Arabidopsis thaliana: one gene and its partners. The protein of the gene in region 3 interacts with the protein of the main gene of each other region in a biochemical or structural test. Each region holds a gene or a part of one and is shown on either strand. Other genes may lie near its edges.

Evidence for each region.
Region 1: the proteins of DET1 (region 3) and PIL5 form a complex in vitro, tested with the Arabidopsis thaliana proteins (one study listed by BioGRID).
Region 2: the proteins of DET1 (region 3) and PIF3 form a complex in vitro, tested with the Arabidopsis thaliana proteins (one study listed by BioGRID).

Annotation. Positions count from the first base shown.
Region 1 is NC_003071.7:8,703,150-8,709,227, reverse strand, and holds PIL5 (phytochrome interacting factor 3-like 5), read left to right. Parts: upstream 1-2,223; 5' UTR 2,224-2,443; exon of another isoform or gene 2,444-2,679; 5' UTR 2,680-2,689; coding exon 2,690-2,787; intron 2,788-2,875; coding exon 2,876-3,581; intron 3,582-3,713; coding exon 3,714-3,791; intron 3,792-3,880; coding exon 3,881-3,946; intron 3,947-4,028; coding exon 4,029-4,094; coding exon of another isoform or gene 4,095-4,109; intron 4,110-4,200; coding exon 4,201-4,539; intron 4,540-4,619; coding exon 4,620-4,703; 3' UTR 4,704-4,788; intron 4,789-4,868; coding exon of another isoform or gene 4,869-4,952; 3' UTR 4,953-5,204; downstream 5,205-6,078. Other genes in the region: AT2G20170 (NEP-interacting protein, putative (DUF239)), read right to left, coding at 5,833-6,078. UniProt on the Arabidopsis thaliana protein: Transcription activator. Negatively regulates chlorophyll biosynthesis and seed germination in the dark, and lightinduced degradation of PIF1 relieves this negative regulation to promote photomorphogenesis.
Region 2 is NC_003070.9:3,073,624-3,080,528, forward strand, and holds PIF3 (phytochrome interacting factor 3), read left to right. Parts: upstream 1-2,144; 5' UTR 2,145-2,229; intron 2,230-2,777; exon of another isoform or gene 2,778-2,835; 5' UTR 2,836-3,592; coding exon 3,593-3,663; intron 3,664-3,754; coding exon 3,755-4,634; intron 4,635-4,722; coding exon 4,723-4,830; intron 4,831-4,921; coding exon 4,922-4,987; intron 4,988-5,219; coding exon 5,220-5,285; intron 5,286-5,360; coding exon 5,361-5,744; 3' UTR 5,745-6,031; downstream 6,032-6,905.
Region 3 is NC_003075.7:6,344,007-6,349,943, reverse strand, and holds DET1 (light-mediated development protein 1 / deetiolated1 (DET1)), read right to left. Parts: upstream 3,534-5,937; 5' UTR 3,402-3,533; coding exon 3,330-3,401; intron 3,249-3,329; coding exon 2,586-3,248; intron 2,512-2,585; coding exon 2,320-2,511; intron 2,022-2,319; coding exon 1,953-2,021; intron 1,858-1,952; coding exon 1,801-1,857; intron 1,695-1,800; coding exon 1,614-1,694; intron 1,532-1,613; coding exon 1,370-1,531; intron 1,298-1,369; coding exon 1,202-1,297; intron 1,130-1,201; coding exon 1,030-1,129; intron 938-1,029; coding exon 798-937; 3' UTR 630-797; downstream 1-629. Other genes in the region: AT4G10170 (SNARE-like superfamily protein), read right to left, coding at 4,593-5,357. UniProt on the Arabidopsis thaliana protein: Component of light signal transduction machinery. Involved in repression of photomorphogenesis in darkness by participating in the CDD complex, a complex probably required to regulate the activity of ubiquitin conjugating enzymes (E2s).

The sequences.
Region 1 (6,078 bases), on a different chromosome or scaffold from region 3:
AGAGACTCCCATTAAATATGTTCTCTCTTAATGTCTCATTGTTTCAGTTCCTACTTCCTACAAAATCATAATTTGGTAAAGAAAAAAAGCTACATACAATTGCATAAGCATATGTAGTCTATAAGACGAGATATATATGATAATTTTCGGAATATTATTACTTAGCATTTTGTTTAAATATAACCACAATCAGGCTTTAATTTCAGTTTTTGTCTTGTCATTTGCATCTAACATAAAATATTATATTTTACTCTAAAGAACAAAAACGCAAATCATTATTATTCAATCAAAATTTTTTACGACTTTTTTATCAGGAGATAATATTTTTTTCTATTTTGCGTTTTGTTTAATTTAAAGTAACTTTGATGGTAAATCAAAATATATTTTAGATAGGTACAAATCATTTTAGCGGACAAAAAAAATGTACAACAGCAAGAGGGTGATTTAGCAACAAAATTTAGCTTGAAAAAATTGATGTTTATAGATTATGTCTAAATCTGAATAAAAGAATAAATAATTAAGTTTGATAGATCATGCAAGAGGGTGGTTTAGCAACAAAAATAAACATATTACCCTGTCTCATAAATCATTGAGATTATCAATAAAAAAAACACCCAATTTCTGTCTTAATATTGTCCCCACCAATGTGAGTCCATATCTGATTCTCTGTTTCTTTCTTCCCTACTTGGAATTATATAAAAATATGTATATACATATTAATGTGTATATATATATATATATGTGCGTGTTCCCATATCAATGATAAATGCTCTTTATCAAAAGGTAAAATGATTATAAAAAAAAATAAGTTGTTTCATTTTATTTGTTGTTTTCAATGCAAAATTTATTATTATTTTATTATTTTTGATTCTTGAAATTCTGCAACTTTTTATTGGTTAAATTATTTTAAAATATGTAATTAAACATATTTTTAAAATTTAAGAAAACAGAAACTAAATGATCTTAATCAATGTACCAAAATCTTAAACTAGAACAAAATAGAAACAAAAGAAGTATTATAGAAGAAATTAACACTTTGTTCACTAACTTGACTACTATAAATGATTATAAATTAACACTTTATGTAGCATTCGACTTTTCTGTTTATAGAAGAGGAGACTCACTTAAGTCTTTAATATCATGTTTGCATATGTTGTAGTCTTTTGTTTTTAACATCTTTGGATTGACATGGTCTATTCTATAGCCAATATCTATTATGCAAGATAACACGATTTAGTGGAGTCAAACTCTGGTGGAAAAAGCGGAATCAAATGGATTTAACCACAAGACTAAAGGAATATTTCCTGCAAGATATATGTAGTCTTAAATCTATAATTTAGCGATATAAAAAAGGACAATTTTTAAATATGATACTTAAGTTTTTGTTTATTTCTTTAAAAATACCACTTAATGTTTGGTTTCTTAAAATAACATAAAACTTAAATTTAACTTCCAACATTCAAAATTAAACTCTAAACTTTAAACACTAAACCCTAACCCCTAAAAACAATATCTTAAAATTAAAATGGTCAATTCAAACTTAATTTTTTTAATTCTGATGAACTCTTGAAAATCAAAATTGAAGTATAATATTTTTGGAAAACAAAACTTTTGGTGGTATTTTGACAACACAACTTGAAAGTGTGATATTTTGCTACAATACTCCTCTAGAATTCGAGGCTCCCTTAAAACAAAATATTATTTTCGTGTCAGTCATATTTTTTTGAGACATTTCTCAAAATACCACATTTTCAAGTCTTATTGCTAAAATACCATTTCATCCGGTATTCGATCTTCTATCAAAAGAAAATTATATTCATGTAGGATGTCTAGGTTTGGTCCAGACAAGTTAAATGGTAATCTGGTAACATGCGATTCAGTTATGTTTAAGTGTTAATCAGTTAATATTCTAAACTCGGAATAAATGTGTGATGATCCTTGAATATAAATTTATTTTGTAATACTTAAATATATTTTTACCAAAATTAACCGGATCATTGGATAAAGTTTATAAAATAATTTTTTTTTGATGATAATGCCATGAAAACAATTTATAGTACGGATGAGAAACAATGAGGCTGATTATTTTATCTCCGTCAGCTACAAATGATCTCAGACATTTTGTTTTTATGTTCAACTTGGTTTTTTATTCAGAGGTTAAAAAATGGGCACAAGTTTCTATTCAGACACATACACACATAAATAAAATAGAGAATTCACTGTTAAAGTTAGTTGACACAATAGTAAATGCGATACATGCTAGAGTCACGGAAGAGGCAAAAACAAACTCCAAAGAGAGACATATAAGAAAAAGACAAAAACCCTTAAGAAGCTTATCACATTCTTAAAGCACGAAAATTCAGAATAAGATTCAGTCATCCTTTAGCACAAAAAAAAAAAAAAAAAGATCCAGTCATCCAATACTAGTTCCCCAGAAATAAAGGTGATATATTTTTTTTTTTGAGAAGCCTATCCAGTACCAACCTCAATTCTCTAGGTTAGATATAGTCTGGGTAGTATATATGTTTCTTCACTGATTAGTAATCTCTGTGTGTAGTACACTTACTCACTAGTGCTACTCTTTTGGATCTTTCTGGGGTTTTTCTTTTGGTTATAAAACCAGAAGAAGAAGATAACTGTTTGTTATTTTAATACTTACCATTATCATCATCTTTGTAGAGAGAGAGATATGCATCATTTTGTCCCTGACTTCGATACCGATGATGATTATGTCAACAACCATAATTCTTCTTTGAATCATCTTCCTAGAAAATCCATTACTACTATGTAAGTTCTTTTATTCAAACTTATATTAAAAAAAAAAAAAAGTTTGATTAGTTCAAGATCTGAGTATTTATAGTATTGAAAACTTTAGGGGTGAAGATGATGATCTTATGGAGCTTTTATGGCAGAACGGTCAAGTTGTTGTTCAAAACCAGAGACTTCACACCAAGAAACCTTCTTCTTCTCCACCGAAGCTTCTTCCTTCTATGGATCCTCAGCAGCAACCTTCTTCAGATCAGAATCTTTTTATTCAAGAAGATGAAATGACTTCTTGGCTTCATTATCCTCTCCGTGACGATGATTTCTGCTCAGATCTTCTCTTCTCCGCCGCACCTACTGCGACGGCTACCGCGACGGTGAGTCAAGTCACCGCCGCGAGACCGCCAGTATCTTCGACGAATGAGTCGAGGCCGCCGGTGAGGAACTTCATGAATTTCTCGAGGCTGAGAGGGGATTTTAATAACGGTAGAGGTGGTGAATCTGGACCGTTGCTTTCGAAGGCGGTTGTGAGAGAATCTACGCAGGTAAGTCCTAGCGCAACACCGTCGGCGGCGGCGAGTGAATCCGGTTTAACACGGCGGACGGATGGTACTGACAGTTCCGCCGTAGCTGGAGGCGGCGCGTATAATCGGAAGGGAAAAGCAGTGGCTATGACGGCGCCGGCGATCGAGATAACCGGTACATCGTCATCTGTAGTGTCAAAGAGCGAAATCGAACCGGAGAAGACGAACGTCGATGATAGGAAACGAAAAGAGAGAGAAGCCACCACTACTGATGAAACTGAATCCCGTAGCGAGGTGAGTCAAAAAAACACAGAACAGAGTCGTTGTTAGCTATCGTGCGCAAGTCAAATACGGCGCATTTTAGTCTGACTTTGTAGTTTTCAGCGCATTTTTAATTAACTTTTTTGGTGTTTTCTTGTGGTGCAGGAAACAAAACAAGCACGTGTATCAACAACATCTACCAAGAGATCTCGTGCTGCTGAAGTTCATAATCTCTCTGAAAGAGTACGTTTGTGTTTTTTCTTATGTTTTTGTAATCTTTTTCGATAAAGATTTCGCAATGAATCTGAAGAATGTCGCGGATTTGGTAACAGAAACGGAGAGATAGGATCAATGAGAGAATGAAAGCTTTGCAAGAACTTATACCTCGCTGCAACAAGGTCTTCGACGATCTTTTTTCTTTCTCTTCAAGTTATTGTATACGTTAACCTTGTTACTGATTGTTGTTTCTTTGATCCTCAGTCAGATAAAGCTTCGATGCTAGATGAAGCTATTGAGTACATGAAATCTCTTCAGCTTCAAATACAGGTTCATTTTCTTTAAAGGATTCTAAGTCTTGAAAGCCCTTTTTAAGTTCTTGAAAATGTACACTTTACCATGAAAACTCCAGTTTATATGACTGAGATTAATGCAGATGATGTCAATGGGATGTGGAATGATGCCAATGATGTATCCGGGCATGCAACAGTACATGCCTCATATGGCGATGGGTATGGGTATGAACCAGCCTATTCCTCCTCCTTCCTTCATGCCATTCCCCAACATGTTAGCCGCTCAAAGACCTTTGCCTACACAAACTCACATGGCCGGGTCAGGACCGCAATACCCTGTTCATGCTTCTGACCCGTCAAGAGTCTTTGTACCGAACCAGCAGTATGATCCAACCTCGGGCCAGCCTCAGTATCCAGCTGGTTACACGGATCCATATCAGCAGTTCCGCGGTCTCCACCCGACCCAACCACCTCAGTTTCAGGTACTAAACAGTCATCTCTTTCCCAAAAATGACTAGTTCCTCTGCTTACAAGTCACAAGTTCTTATCTTTCTTATTTTAGAATCAAGCAACATCGTACCCAAGTTCGAGCAGGGTGAGTAGTAGTAAGGAATCTGAGGATCACGGAAACCACACAACAGGTTAATAATGTCCATGGAGCAACAAGAAGATCTGTTTTCACAAGCAAACACAATTTCTTATCCGACCCGACCCAACCACCTCAGTTTCAGGTACTAAACAGTCATCTTTTTCCCAAAAATGGCTAGTTCCTCTGCTTACAAGTCACAAGTTCTTATCTTTCTTATTTTAGAATCAAGCAACATCGTATCCAAGTTCGAGCAGGGTGAGTAGTAGTAAGGAATCTGAGGATCACGGAAACCACACAACAGGTTAATAATGTCCATGGAGCAACAAGAAGATCTGTTTTCACAAGCAAACACAATTTTGAGAAATTGACAGAGAGACCTAACATGTATATATATCGCCATCTGTTTCTTGTTTTTCTTTGGTTTGTTTTGTCCTCTCTTCTCAGGTTGTATACTTAGAGAGCTGTACATGTAATGATCCAGAGATCTAGGAATCAATACATAGAGGTTGCAGAGGCTTAGTGCAAAGAATAAATATGAGAAAGTTAGGTTCATATACATACCCGATCATTATTCTTTTCTCGTCTATTATTATTACTTTTGACGAAAGCAATTCTTGATTAAGCTTAACAGTGAATATTTACAAATGTTCCACTCCCAAGTCCCAAAGACTTATCGATACAAATGCACAAACAAATCTTAGTCCTTGCAACTAAGCTCACAATGTGACACAAAATATGTAAATAGACGGACAAAAGCCAGCAAACAAAAGCAAGAAAATTAATGATGTAATTGGCCAAGCATTGCCCATTTTGTAGTGTCTTTCATAGGATCTCTTCATCTAAAAACGTAGTGATGTCAACTAATATGGTATCTCCAGTCCATGACCATAATATCGAAAATATAAAGCTAAAAGAAAAGGCAAACAAATTTCTCAAACCGTTAAGACTTGCTATCTCCATGACCATAAGACTTGACAAACATGCATATATATGTATCAAACCGTTAAATCAATTTTGTATTTGCTTAATAAAGAAGATGTAAAAAGAAGTTTAACATTTATAGTATTTGAAAACTTATATATTAGTATTACTATTTCCTTATTTTTGTCAAAGTTATTTTACTATATATTTCCTTAACACATCAAAATAGAAGGTATACTTATACGTAAATGACCTTAAAGATTTGTTAAGTAATGGTGCATCCTCCTGGTCCTCCATAGAAAATTGCACTAGACCACTCCTCACCGACCCCTGTTTTTGTTTCGACTTTATAACATTTTGGGCTGTTTGCGAATAATCTTAAATCTTTAACTGGTGGACTTCTAATTTTTTCTATTTCACGATCTATCACTTTAAGGCCGTTCACAAAAGCTGCCTTTTTGAAACCTTCTTTTGGGAAATGTCCACTTCCCATGAGTGGGCTTGTACTCTG
Region 2 (6,905 bases), on a different chromosome or scaffold from region 3:
TCTCTGATTTAATTATCTAAAAAATCCCAATAAACATATGTTTTGGTGAGTACTTTTTATTCAAAAAAATTTACATCCTCTTCTGCCAAAATCATTTCATAAGACATCCCAAAATCTTTGGAATAATGATTCCATGAATGAAGAATCCTAATTTGAATATACCAAGAGGTTTTGAAAGGTTTTAAGTTTTTGATAGGTGTGTATGTGAGAAGGTACATCCATCGTGATGGTAATCTGCTTATTTATAATTTTAACTTGCATTATACAGCAGATAGGCTTATATTTTAGTTAAACTAAAAACTTTTATTGTAAAATTGATTATAAATATATGATATTATTTTATTTGATTTTAAATGTATAGAAACTACGAGTTGTATATGTTTTGTTGATATTATTTATATTGTTTAGTGTTTAAAATTATATACTTGTATTTTGATTGTTAATTTTAGAGTTTCACATGTAGTATACCATCTTGTATTAATATTGATTTAAACCCGTCAATTGTAGGATTTTTCAGCTTGTATTAAAAATTGAATCACATCATACACATTAAAAAATCTAATATGTTATTAATTATTGTAGTATATAAGATTATAAATTTTAAAATAATATGTATGAAATTGAATATAAATATTCAAATTATGACACAGTACTCAGTAATTTTTTTTCTTAAATCTACTTTTGACCCGTTATAGTATTTTTTTCATGTACTGAACAATTTATATTCGTTTTTAAAAATTCAAATTGTGGCATATGCGAAAAAACTCTAATTATTTTTTTATAACGATGATATTATTTTTTCGCAAAAATAGAATCATATAAAGATGAGAGGTGAATTATAATAATTAATAAAAAATTAATATGATAATATTGATATCAAATCTAATTTGTTGATTTTAATTGGTTACTTTTTTGGAAATTAATAATGTATTTCGTTTTTGAGTTAAATTTAATTAATTAAATTAGTATTTGACTTTTTAATTTTTAAAGAAATGAATTAATTTACTCTTTAAAATTTTATTTCTAATGGCATACGTATGTAATTACTTACAAAAAATAAGGTTACATTTTAAAAATTAATATGATAATTTAGATATCAAATCTAATTTGTTGATTTTAATTGGTTACTTTTCTGGAAATTAATAATGTATTTCGTTTTTGAGTTAAATTTAATTAATTAAATTAGTATTTGACTCTTTAATTTTTAAAGAAATGAATTAATTTACTCTTTAAAATTTTATTTCTAATGGCATACCTATATAATTACTTACAAAAAAGAAGATTATATTTCAAATGTACTTCCCAAATAATATAGTAGGATCACTTCCATTCCGAGTTTTCTTCTTTCTTTGATATATATATCTACTTATTTATTTACTCGGTTTGATTTTATAATAAATTTGTTTATAATTATTTTCTGAACAAGAGATGGCCATAAAATACAGTGATGAAATCAATAATGGTCCATGCAAATGTACTCAAATTATCCACTTGGAAAGTTTATAGTATACAATGGGTTGTTACGTATTTTAGAATCTAATTTGCATGGCGATTTAATTGACATTTCATCATCAACCGAGCTATAACGAGAGATAAACCAGAAGATGCAACGTTCGTGAACAAACTCGACTGATATTCTAGATGGTTTTATTTATTTTTTACTTATAGAAAGGAACAAATTAGATTTAAAGATAATATGCTCTAATCTAAGAGTTTGGAACCACTATACCACATACTATATCCCATGATTAAAAAAAATCTCAATTATTATAGCGCAAATGATTGGTTTTCATCAGTTAATAGAACTTGCTGAGTGAGTCCCCAAATTTGAGGATGATTAGTAATTTAGTATCGTAAAGACTAAAAAAGACTTAAGAAAAATAGTAATGATTAGAGAAGTCAAACCTTTAATAATTAAGATAGATAAAGAGAGACAAGGTTGCTCAACCCCACTTGGAGTGTGATGCTTTTTTGGCAGTGTTCCTTTATGATAACACATCTCTTCACACACAACTTTAGTGTATCACAGGCCCATGTCACTTTAAGATAAGATAACATATTCTAGTATATGATTATTTTCATATTTGTAAGTGTATTAAATTATTCATAGACACACCATGAATTAATTGTAATAATGCGAAGGACCTGTATCATGTAACAGAGACAGACGAAGTGTGCAGAGGTCGGTGAGAAGCAATTTGGTCACCATGCTCCAACTCTCTTCTCTAGGTCCCTTTTGCTTTAATTTTCTCGTTTAATAACAATATCTTATGAAAGCAGTTACCATATCAATTGAAGGATTGTATAATACCGTAATTTATTTATATATAGTACATCTAATTAAACATTAATTATTTCTACTAATAGCCTAAAACCACTACTAATACAACAACTAGTACTTGTTTACGATAATTATTAAACTTGTCTCGATACCTACAACATGCCCAAAAAAGTAATCAATACTTTGTTTAATCACAAAGATCTCAGTGAGATGGTTCTATAGATAGTATTTCTGATTTGTTAGTATATTAGAGAATTGACCATCTATTAAAATAAGAGAATGAACACTATTTGATAAAACAATACATACGCAATTATCATTGTCTTTAATTTTTATCAAAGTAATCATACGATCGACTATTTGTATGCAAAAATTCATCATTTTATTTGCAAAAAAAAACAAACAAACATGGTAGAATTGTATTTGGTGTGTGTTTTAACAAATTGTTGCAATGTTTAGTGCAACATATATAATCCACTATATATAATCATTGACATAATTAATATTTGATTATATGAAGCAATTTCTCTTTAATTATGTGTTTATAAATATAGGGAGAAAAGAAAAATAGAGAGAAAGGTAAAGAGTAGAGCTAATGATTCGGGCGACGCTAAAAGGTTGAATGTTCGAGAGAAACGGAGTCTCAGAGACTGTGAAAACAAAAAATCAAAATCCTCAGTTACAGACGATTTGGTCCCCTCTCTTCTCTCTCTGCGTCCGTCTTGTGCGTCGATTTGTCTCCATCTCCTTCTCTCTCCGCCTACTTTCTCAGGACTACTCCAATTCGCCGACTTTTTCTCCTCTGTTCTCTGCATTTGGATTGATGCCACTTTAATACTTTGAGGTTCTCACTCTCTCTTTCTCTCTTCGCTGACTTCGATTGCTTCAGTACCCTTTTTCTCAGGTCAGCTACGATGATAGCTTTATTCAGACAAGAAGATCAAAGTTTTGATCTTTTTGTTTTGGTTTTCTTAAGAGATGGTTAATTAGGTCTTGAGTGCGCTGTTTTGAATCGTTCTTCAGTGTGATTAAACAATTGGTTTTGATTTGACTAATCATGTTGCCATTAAACTAAGTGAAAATCTCTGCTTTTTTTATATTGCATATTGATGATTGAGACATTGATTTCTTTTCTATTTCTTTATTTCCCAGTTTCTAATTTGGGAACTGAAAAGTTTTCTAATTTAAGCATTACAAAGTGTACAATTTTTGTTTCTGGCAAGTTTTTCTTGGCCTAATTCGTCTATTTTATGAATTCACCTTTTTAGGATCAAGACTTCGTAAAAGATTGTTTCTGTAAAACGCAACACCATGCCTCTGTTTGAGCTTTTCAGGCTCACCAAAGCTAAGCTTGAATCTGCTCAAGACAGGAACCCTTCTCCGTGAGTCCCATTCACTTGTCTCTCTTTAAGTCTGCCTTGTTTCAAGTTCATCAAATTCATGTGTTTTTTTGTTGTGTGTGAAAAATAACAGACCTGTAGATGAAGTTGTGGAGCTGGTGTGGGAAAATGGTCAGATATCAACTCAAAGTCAGTCAAGTAGATCGAGGAACATTCCTCCACCACAAGCAAACTCTTCTAGAGCTAGAGAGATTGGAAATGGCTCAAAGACGACTATGGTGGACGAGATCCCTATGTCAGTGCCATCACTAATGACGGGTTTGAGTCAAGACGATGACTTTGTTCCATGGTTGAATCATCATCCCTCCCTTGATGGATATTGCTCTGATTTCTTGCGTGATGTGTCGTCTCCTGTTACTGTCAACGAGCAAGAGAGTGATATGGCGGTAAACCAAACTGCTTTCCCGTTGTTTCAGAGAAGAAAGGATGGCAATGAATCAGCTCCTGCTGCTTCTTCGTCGCAGTATAACGGTTTCCAATCGCATTCTCTGTATGGAAGTGATAGAGCTAGAGATCTTCCTAGCCAACAAACCAATCCGGATCGGTTTACTCAGACGCAGGAACCACTAATTACTAGTAACAAGCCTAGTTTGGTCAACTTTTCACATTTCTTACGCCCTGCAACTTTTGCGAAGACTACTAATAATAACCTTCATGACACTAAAGAAAAGAGTCCTCAAAGCCCGCCAAATGTGTTTCAGACCAGAGTTCTTGGAGCTAAAGACTCTGAAGATAAGGTTCTTAACGAGTCTGTTGCTTCTGCTACGCCTAAAGATAACCAAAAGGCTTGCCTAATATCAGAGGACTCATGTAGAAAAGACCAAGAGAGTGAAAAAGCAGTTGTATGTTCTTCTGTTGGCTCGGGTAATAGTCTCGATGGCCCATCCGAAAGTCCTTCACTTTCTTTAAAGAGAAAGCATTCGAATATTCAAGACATTGACTGTCATAGTGAAGTGAGTTAAACTCATGTCATTTTATGCACATTACAATTTCGTTTCTTTGTTGTTTTCTTCAGTTTTTTTATTGAATATTGTTGAGCAGGATGTGGAAGAAGAATCAGGAGATGGAAGAAAGGAAGCAGGTCCATCTCGAACGGGTTTGGGTTCAAAGAGAAGCCGCTCTGCAGAAGTGCATAATCTGTCTGAAAGGGTGAGTGAGTGAAGCCCCTAAAGGGTTTTTGTCCATTCTCAAACTCACAAAAGATTGCTATATTTGGTAACTTACTGTCCTCAATTTTCAGAGACGGCGTGATAGGATCAACGAGAAGATGCGTGCCCTGCAAGAACTCATTCCAAACTGTAACAAGGTCAGCTTCTTCTCCTTTACAAATACCATTCATGATTCATTTTTGTTTGAAAGATAAGGAGCAATGCCAAATAAACTAAAACTTGCATCTTAGAACGAATTGCTAAAGGTTTTTGATTGGTTTCCGTATTTATTAAACCGGAAAAACAATTGAAACCATATTGTAAGCAAGATTGTTCAAGCCGAGAATTTTCGTATTTAATCAGCTTTTGTAACATTTATATGGTTTAAAGGTGGACAAAGCTTCGATGCTAGATGAAGCCATCGAGTATCTCAAGTCACTCCAACTTCAAGTGCAGGTAACACTCTCATTACTCTCTAGAGTCGATAAAAATCGTGCAAACTAATAATCTAAACACAATAATCGCCAACAGATCATGTCAATGGCGTCTGGTTACTATCTGCCACCGGCGGTTATGTTCCCACCGGGTATGGGGCATTACCCGGCAGCAGCTGCTGCAATGGCAATGGGTATGGGAATGCCTTATGCAATGGGCTTGCCTGATTTGAGCCGTGGTGGTTCATCGGTTAACCACGGACCACAGTTCCAAGTCTCGGGGATGCAACAACAACCAGTGGCGATGGGTATTCCACGTGTCTCTGGTGGTGGTATCTTTGCCGGTTCTTCGACGATTGGCAATGGCTCGACTAGAGATTTATCTGGTTCTAAAGATCAAACAACGACGAATAACAACAGTAACTTGAAACCAATAAAGAGAAAACAGGGGTCTTCTGATCAGTTTTGTGGATCGTCGTGACATAAATACAAACTTATGAACTGATGTATTGTTTATTTGTAGCATTCAAACAAATCTATTTTATAATCCTAAACAAAATTAATTTGTGTTCGTTATAACAGTGAAGAGCTTTGTGCTTATTGGTGGGTTCTGTTCTGTTTCTTGTTTTGAATTAAAAAATGTTTTTAATATTTTCAAAGGTTTTGTTCCCTTTTTAATGTAGCGTGGGGTTCACTATATAGATGGACCTGGTTAAACAAGCGTGATGGGCTTCTCAGCCCATTTTGTTAAATAACTTAATTATGACATTTTCTTTCGATTTCCTTTTTTTTCTTTTTTTGGGCCAGGACTATTGAACTAGTGAAGCTGAATATATACCCACGCGAAAATTGAAATTATTGGAAGTTTTTTTTTTTTTTTTTTTTTGTTGGAACCTATAGGGTGTATATAAGTTACATGATACACGGTGTTTGAGCGCATCACTTAGCTTGATATGTAGTTTATGTTATACGTAGTAAGTGATTCGCTCACGCATGACTGTTACGTTTTCTTTAACAAAAAGAAAGGGAATCGATGGTTAGGGTTAGGTCAACGATCGGAGGAGTTGAGCTAGAGCCTAGAGAACCATAGTTTGGAAGAGGGCAAATGTGAGCTCCTGATTTGTTTCTCGGATGCTGGAAGCTATATATATGTCCATGATTGTATCGATTGGGAGTTTTGTCGAAAGTAAAAAATTTCTTCCTCAATTCTTTAGGAAGTTTGTTACTTTGTTTTATGTTCACAAAACGTTGTCAACTTCTCGTAGATGCTTGTTTCTATAGTTAGAGATGTTTTATATACCCAGCCTGCCAGCCAGCGAGCAGACTTTTATTAATAGTTTCCCCTATATATAGGCTATATAGCTTTAGCGTAAACTTAAGTTCTGTGTGGTAAATCGCGTCTTCACAAACATTTTTGCACCAAAGACTTCTTAAAAGTAATATATAGAAGAGAAATTTAGATGATTCTGTCCTCGTTTAAATTGATGAGACTTATTAAACTTAAGTAATGCATAATAAATAAAACATTAAAACCTTTAGTACTGAAAAAGGTAGTCTATATAGTGGAAAGCAGAGAAGAACAAAAAAGGGTTTATACTTCCATTTAGATTTTGTATCTTCTAATGGAGGTGGATTAGACAGC
Region 3 (5,937 bases):
CTAATCAATAATATTATTGAAAACTCTCTACAAATAGTTTATAGTTTAGAATCTTTCATTTATTTACTTTATATGATATTATTAAAGTCTTCAAAATTTCTTTTTAGTTAGGAACCAATAACACCTCCTAGTTATTTCTTCCTTTTTAAGATTCAAACACTTTTTGCATGTATTATGTGTTTTGAGATACAGTAAAACCTCTATAAATTAATAAAGATGGAAGTATGATATTTTATTAATTATAGTGATTAATAATTTATCTATAATTAATATATTAATTTAAATTTAAATTATTAATTTATAGAGATATTTGTTTTAATTTTTCAAATTTTAGAAACTATGAGATGTTATAAATTTTATAGTAATATAATTGAAAATTTAATATTTAAAAAGCTCATTTGACAATAAATCACAAAAACTATAATTGAAAATGATGCATACTAAGAAATTAGAAACTTACAAAACATTATGGCTAATTTTTTTACAAAGTTATAAACGATTCTATAATTTGACAATTGAAAACCCCAACATAATTCAATCAGACTTAGAGACAAAACAATTGTTTGATAGAATAAAAGTTAGAGACAAACTCTAACAAGATTCAATACTTAAAAGACATTAAAACCATATTTTTATATAAAGCTTTCCAAAAGATTATTATATTATTATTTTATCGAAGTTTGTTAATTTTTACATCGGCCCAACTCGGAATTTATAGAGGTTTTACTGAACTTTTGTTACAAACAATAGATTACAACATGTAGGAAGACTACTAGACTGATAGAAACCAAAAAGAGTCATCGCCTAAAATGGATATTGACGACAGAAGGTGGCATGAAAAGTGTTTGTTGAATAGAGATGGCAAGTGGTAAATGAGGATGGAACAAGAATGAACATATCTTCTTGCTTCGACCATCTGCAGTTCCACACTCTGGTCCTGTTCACCATTAGACAATCCTAACGTTAAATCATGTTCCGTGCGGTTTGGGTTTTCGTCATCTTAATATCTAAACAACTAAAACAACCAACCTGGTTTTATCTTGAATTTCAGGGTTTGCGGTTGCCTTCGAGATATGAACTTGATTGGGTTGTCTGAGGATTGCCTATGCCTATCTGCTGCGGATATTAACTGTAACCATATCCGAAATTAACTTAACTCAATCCTGAAGTTGAAGAGAATAAGGGTTTATAGAATGGTTACCTTTTCATCGAACCGGAAGAGAGACTGGTCGAAATATGGGGAGGGACTTTGTGACTGACAACTGAAAGGCAAAGAGAGTAACATCTTCTTCACAAACTGTATAGAAAAATTGATTAGATTCAACTCTCTCATAAAAACCAACATATCGAAATACAGAGATGTACTTACCTGAGAAAAACTGTTTGATTTGTTCTTCGTGTATTTTAGTTGTTCAAGGGCATAGACGTTGTTAGAATGCGATGTTACAAAGTTCATGAACGGTGTACTACTTGATACTGTAAAGTGATCACTGAACTGCTCAAATAATTGGTAAAGATCTTCTGCTGAGTTCTGCATATAGTAATGTACTAAGTCAAGTTATAAGTAGATGCAAATTCCACAAAATAACTGGCCAAAATGACATCCATTTTACCTGATAGAATGCTACAATGTCAGTAGTCTCCATATTATACACCGCGAAGAAAGCTGGATGATGATCAGCACTTCTTGTTACCTGAGTAACCCATCAACAATCATAAGTCTAATCAATCAAATTGTAATTTCTGAAAATGACAGTATCAGTTCAATGTAACCATGAATTTGTATTATAGAGAGCTTACCCCACCGTCTACACTTCCAAATTTGATTAGCAGGTGTTGTCGATCCAAAAACTGAACCTGGACATCAAGAATACACAAAAGATTAGTTTTTTTCACCATCAAATCCAAACACTTGACACAGATTCCAAAAGCAGAAACACATAATTGATTACCTTCCATATAATCAAGTCGACATAATCCTGGAAATGGAAATAAAACTTCTTCTTAAGACTTTGAACTCTCTGTCAAATCAAATAGTGCCTTTCGATTAGTTCGTATCCAAGATGTAGTGTTTCAATACGACACACATTGCAAACTACAACGAAAGGTCGAAAATGCAAAGAGCATGTATATGATAAGCTGCATCAACTAAGAAGTCACTGTCAACTGCATCAATCCTAAACCTTAAACTTCTGTTATCCTACTCAACATCTAACAGAGGAAGCCAAGCAGTACACAAACATAACCCATTTAATGTACAAGATTGTGAAACTCAGAGCAATTTCATAAAGTGATAAGAGAAGTTGAAGAACAACGAACCATTACGTTATCTGATTCTTCATTCCAAATCTCCCTGAAGATAAAAGAAAGTAACCGTTGCTTAACACCACTAAGAAACGAATTCGAACCACTTGGCTGACTTAGACTATGACGCAACCCATTCTCTCCAGTATCATCTTCCTTACTCCCAGATAAACTCTGCTGTTTACTCTTATCTTGACTCATCATTGCCTAACAATCAAAAACCTCACAAAGCTCAAAACTTTATCTACTCCAGAGAAAGATACTGTAAAAACTTTGCTTACCTGAGAGCTAGAATTGAGGAAAAGCTCATCATCTTCACGACAAAAGTAACCAATAGCACGAGCATCAACAAGATGACCAGAATCTCTAATCTGAAGAAGATGAATCCTCTGATAACGCAACGACAAAATCGCTAAAAGATCATCATAAAGAAACACACCCATATTATGAGCCAGATTAACGAAATCATGAAGAAAAACCCTCTCATCAAGAACAACACCATCATCTAATCGAAGAAGTACGAAAGTAATCTTATCAATGGAAGGAACACCAGGAACAGCGTCATTAGAAGGAGATGATGAATCATGGATCTGAGCTGTTGAAGTAGCGAAAAGACCGAAACGACGAGTTTGGTGATAGAGGAAGAAGTCTTTGCAGATGAGTTCGTTAGAAGAAGCGAGATTGACTGAGTAGAGTTGAGTGAAAAAGCTGTCGAATTTCGAAGCACGGCGAGGTAGAGGAGGTAGGGTGGTTGTGGAATCATCGGTTGTGGAGTAAGTGAGCCAAGAAGGACGATAGACTATGAGTTCTTGATGGTTACGGCTGAAACTAATGAGGAAGAGTCCGTCTTCTGTGAATTTGCGGAAACAGTGATCGGGAGATTCGACATCGTAGAGTGTGTAGCTTGGGACTAGGTTTTCGTAGAAGTGTCTTGCACGATTTACCTATCATTGAAGGTAAAGAGATAAGCAAAAGAGAGATTGAGATTGAGAGATTGAGACAGAGAGAGAGATTTGGGGACTGACGGAAGCGCCGGGAGGAGGAGTTCGAATCTGACGTTCGAAGACCCGAGCGGTGACGTTACCGCTTGTGAACATTTGTTGGCCCAGAAGGGCACGAATAAAGGAAGGTTTTTGGTCTGGTTTTAGTGGTGAAAATGGAGGAGACGATGTGAGTGAGAGAGAGAGAGAGAGAGATACTGTGGCTTTGTTTTGGTTCTGTTGATTTTTCTCTTTTGGGAGGTTGGTTTCTCTCAATCTGTTAATGGGCCTGATATTGGTGTTTGAAAATGGCCCAATAGTTGCAAAATTGGGTCATTGGCACTTATCGGTACTACTTCCTCTTTGTACAATTTCTCTTGTTGTATTGCTTTGCTTAGTCGGAGCTTAAGTATGGACATTCACATTTTGGATCGGATTTTGGATCGGATTCGGTTCGGATTTTCGGATTCAGATGGGAAAGTTTATTATCCGGTCGGGTTTTATGACTATTCGGTTTGGTTTCGGTTCGGATAGTGTCGGATTCGGATCGGTTTTTGAGAAAAAAAAATATATATTGTTCCGTTTTAATAAAATTGGTTTAATTTTGCAAAAAAAATTGTATAATTGTAACAAATATAACTTAAAAATTCGGACGTATAAACCTGTAACTAATATTTTTGTTATTTAGAAATTTTTGGGTATAAACCTGTAACTAATATTTTTAGATAGATATAATTTTATTTCGGATTAGCGGATATTTATTCGGTTTTTGATTCGGAATCGGATTCGGCTGAAGTAATTTGGGTAGGTGAATTCATTATCCGTTCGGATTTTGTGACTGTTCAGTTCGGTTTCGGAACTTTTTTCGGATCGGTTCCTATCTACCTACCATTTTTTACTTCCCATTTTGTTGATCGGTAACAACAAGAACTGCAGTGGCAATACACTTGTTGGAACGAATCATACAATCAATACACTTGTTGGTAAAGCCTTATGCATCTCAAAGCCAGCTTCTTTGCTAGTGAGGGCCTTACTTAGGGAACTTGAAAGAGGATTGAGTTTGAAGTTGAAGCTCAAACAATTTAAATCATATAAAGATGGACGTTACTGTATCGTGAAGTCACAAAGAACACTGAACAGAATCTAGAATCCGACTGTACATATTTCAAAGCTGTGACTAAAGCAATACATAAGCCAAATTATAACTTAAGAATGCTTCACATTACAATCAACATATTTTTTGCCTATTGGAATGCACAAGGGAATGTAAAGAATCGACTCTGTTTATCCGATTTTCTGTCTGCACAATCACGAACGTGTACACTCGATACCCCGACATATAGCCAACCAAATACCAAACAGTGTCAAGCAAATAGCTGCATCAATAGCAAGAACAATCTGAACTAACCGCCGCCATTTCCATTCAAAGCTTTGAGTAACAGAACGTCCACTACTCGACACACACTCCTTCTCCAACGACGTTCCAGCTCCCGCTGAATCATCGGTTATGTTCCCTCTATCATTAGACTTCCTGTGTTCCTCAAGCTCAATCACATGATCTTTCCCTTTCTTCTTCTCTTGCTTACTTAACCTCCCCAACAACGGAGCTTTAGTAGAATTCGAACCTTCGCTTTGTTCACCAAGATTACTACTCTTCAATTCATTGTTACTACTACTCTCAGCAACACGTTCAAGAGAAGCTATAAGTCTAGTAACAACAGGAACAAGCTGATCTTCAACATTAATAGAACCAATCATAGCAGTAAAACTTCCTCTAGAATTCTCCCTAGCAGCTTTCTTAAATTCATCTCTCAAATGTTCAAGAAACTTAAGAACACTAGATCTCTTCAAAACCTCATCAACAATGGCGAAATAAACAAACCCATCTCCAATTAAAAACCCAAATCTTCTTTTACCAATAGTTTCAAAGTACCAAGTATGAAAAGGAGGAGACTTTTCTAAACACAGAGCAGCAAGACTCTCGTTGGTTTGGTCTCCACCGTTGTAAGAGTAAAGAATCTGATTGTCTCTTGAGACACAACAGTAATGAACTGTGTTCTTGATTAAACCCATCTTTTTTTTTGTTTTTTTAAGAAATCAAATTGAGACAGAAGAGGAAAGAAGAGAAGTCTGTGATTAGAGCAAAGAAGAAGAGAGAAATTGAGATGATGGAGTCAGAGAGAAAGTCAAAGAGAAGAAGAAAGTACCAACAAAATCCTTCGGCGATGTCTTCAAAATCGAGGATGAATTCTCTCATTCCTCTTCTTCTTCTCTCTAGGGTTCTTGGGTCATGTGTGAGCTTTTTGTTTGAGATGTTTATCTTTGTGATGAAAAAGTCAGAACTCGACGACCAAACTAGAGGACGTGGTCCACAACACTAAAAAAAATGTATTATTATTTTCTATATGTATGTAACAAATCGCAAATAAATTAGGGGAAATTGATAAAACTAGCATGATTTTTTTTGGTTAAAAGTATAAAATTAGCATGATTTCAAGTTAAAATTGGTAATGAATCAAATATTCATAAACATTTAGTAGAGATTTATACGCTCAAAATTAAGTAATTAAAGATTATAATACTATAATTAATTTAATGATAAAGACCGTAAAGACAATGACAAATTCTTGGCGAACTAAACAGAAATAGCGAC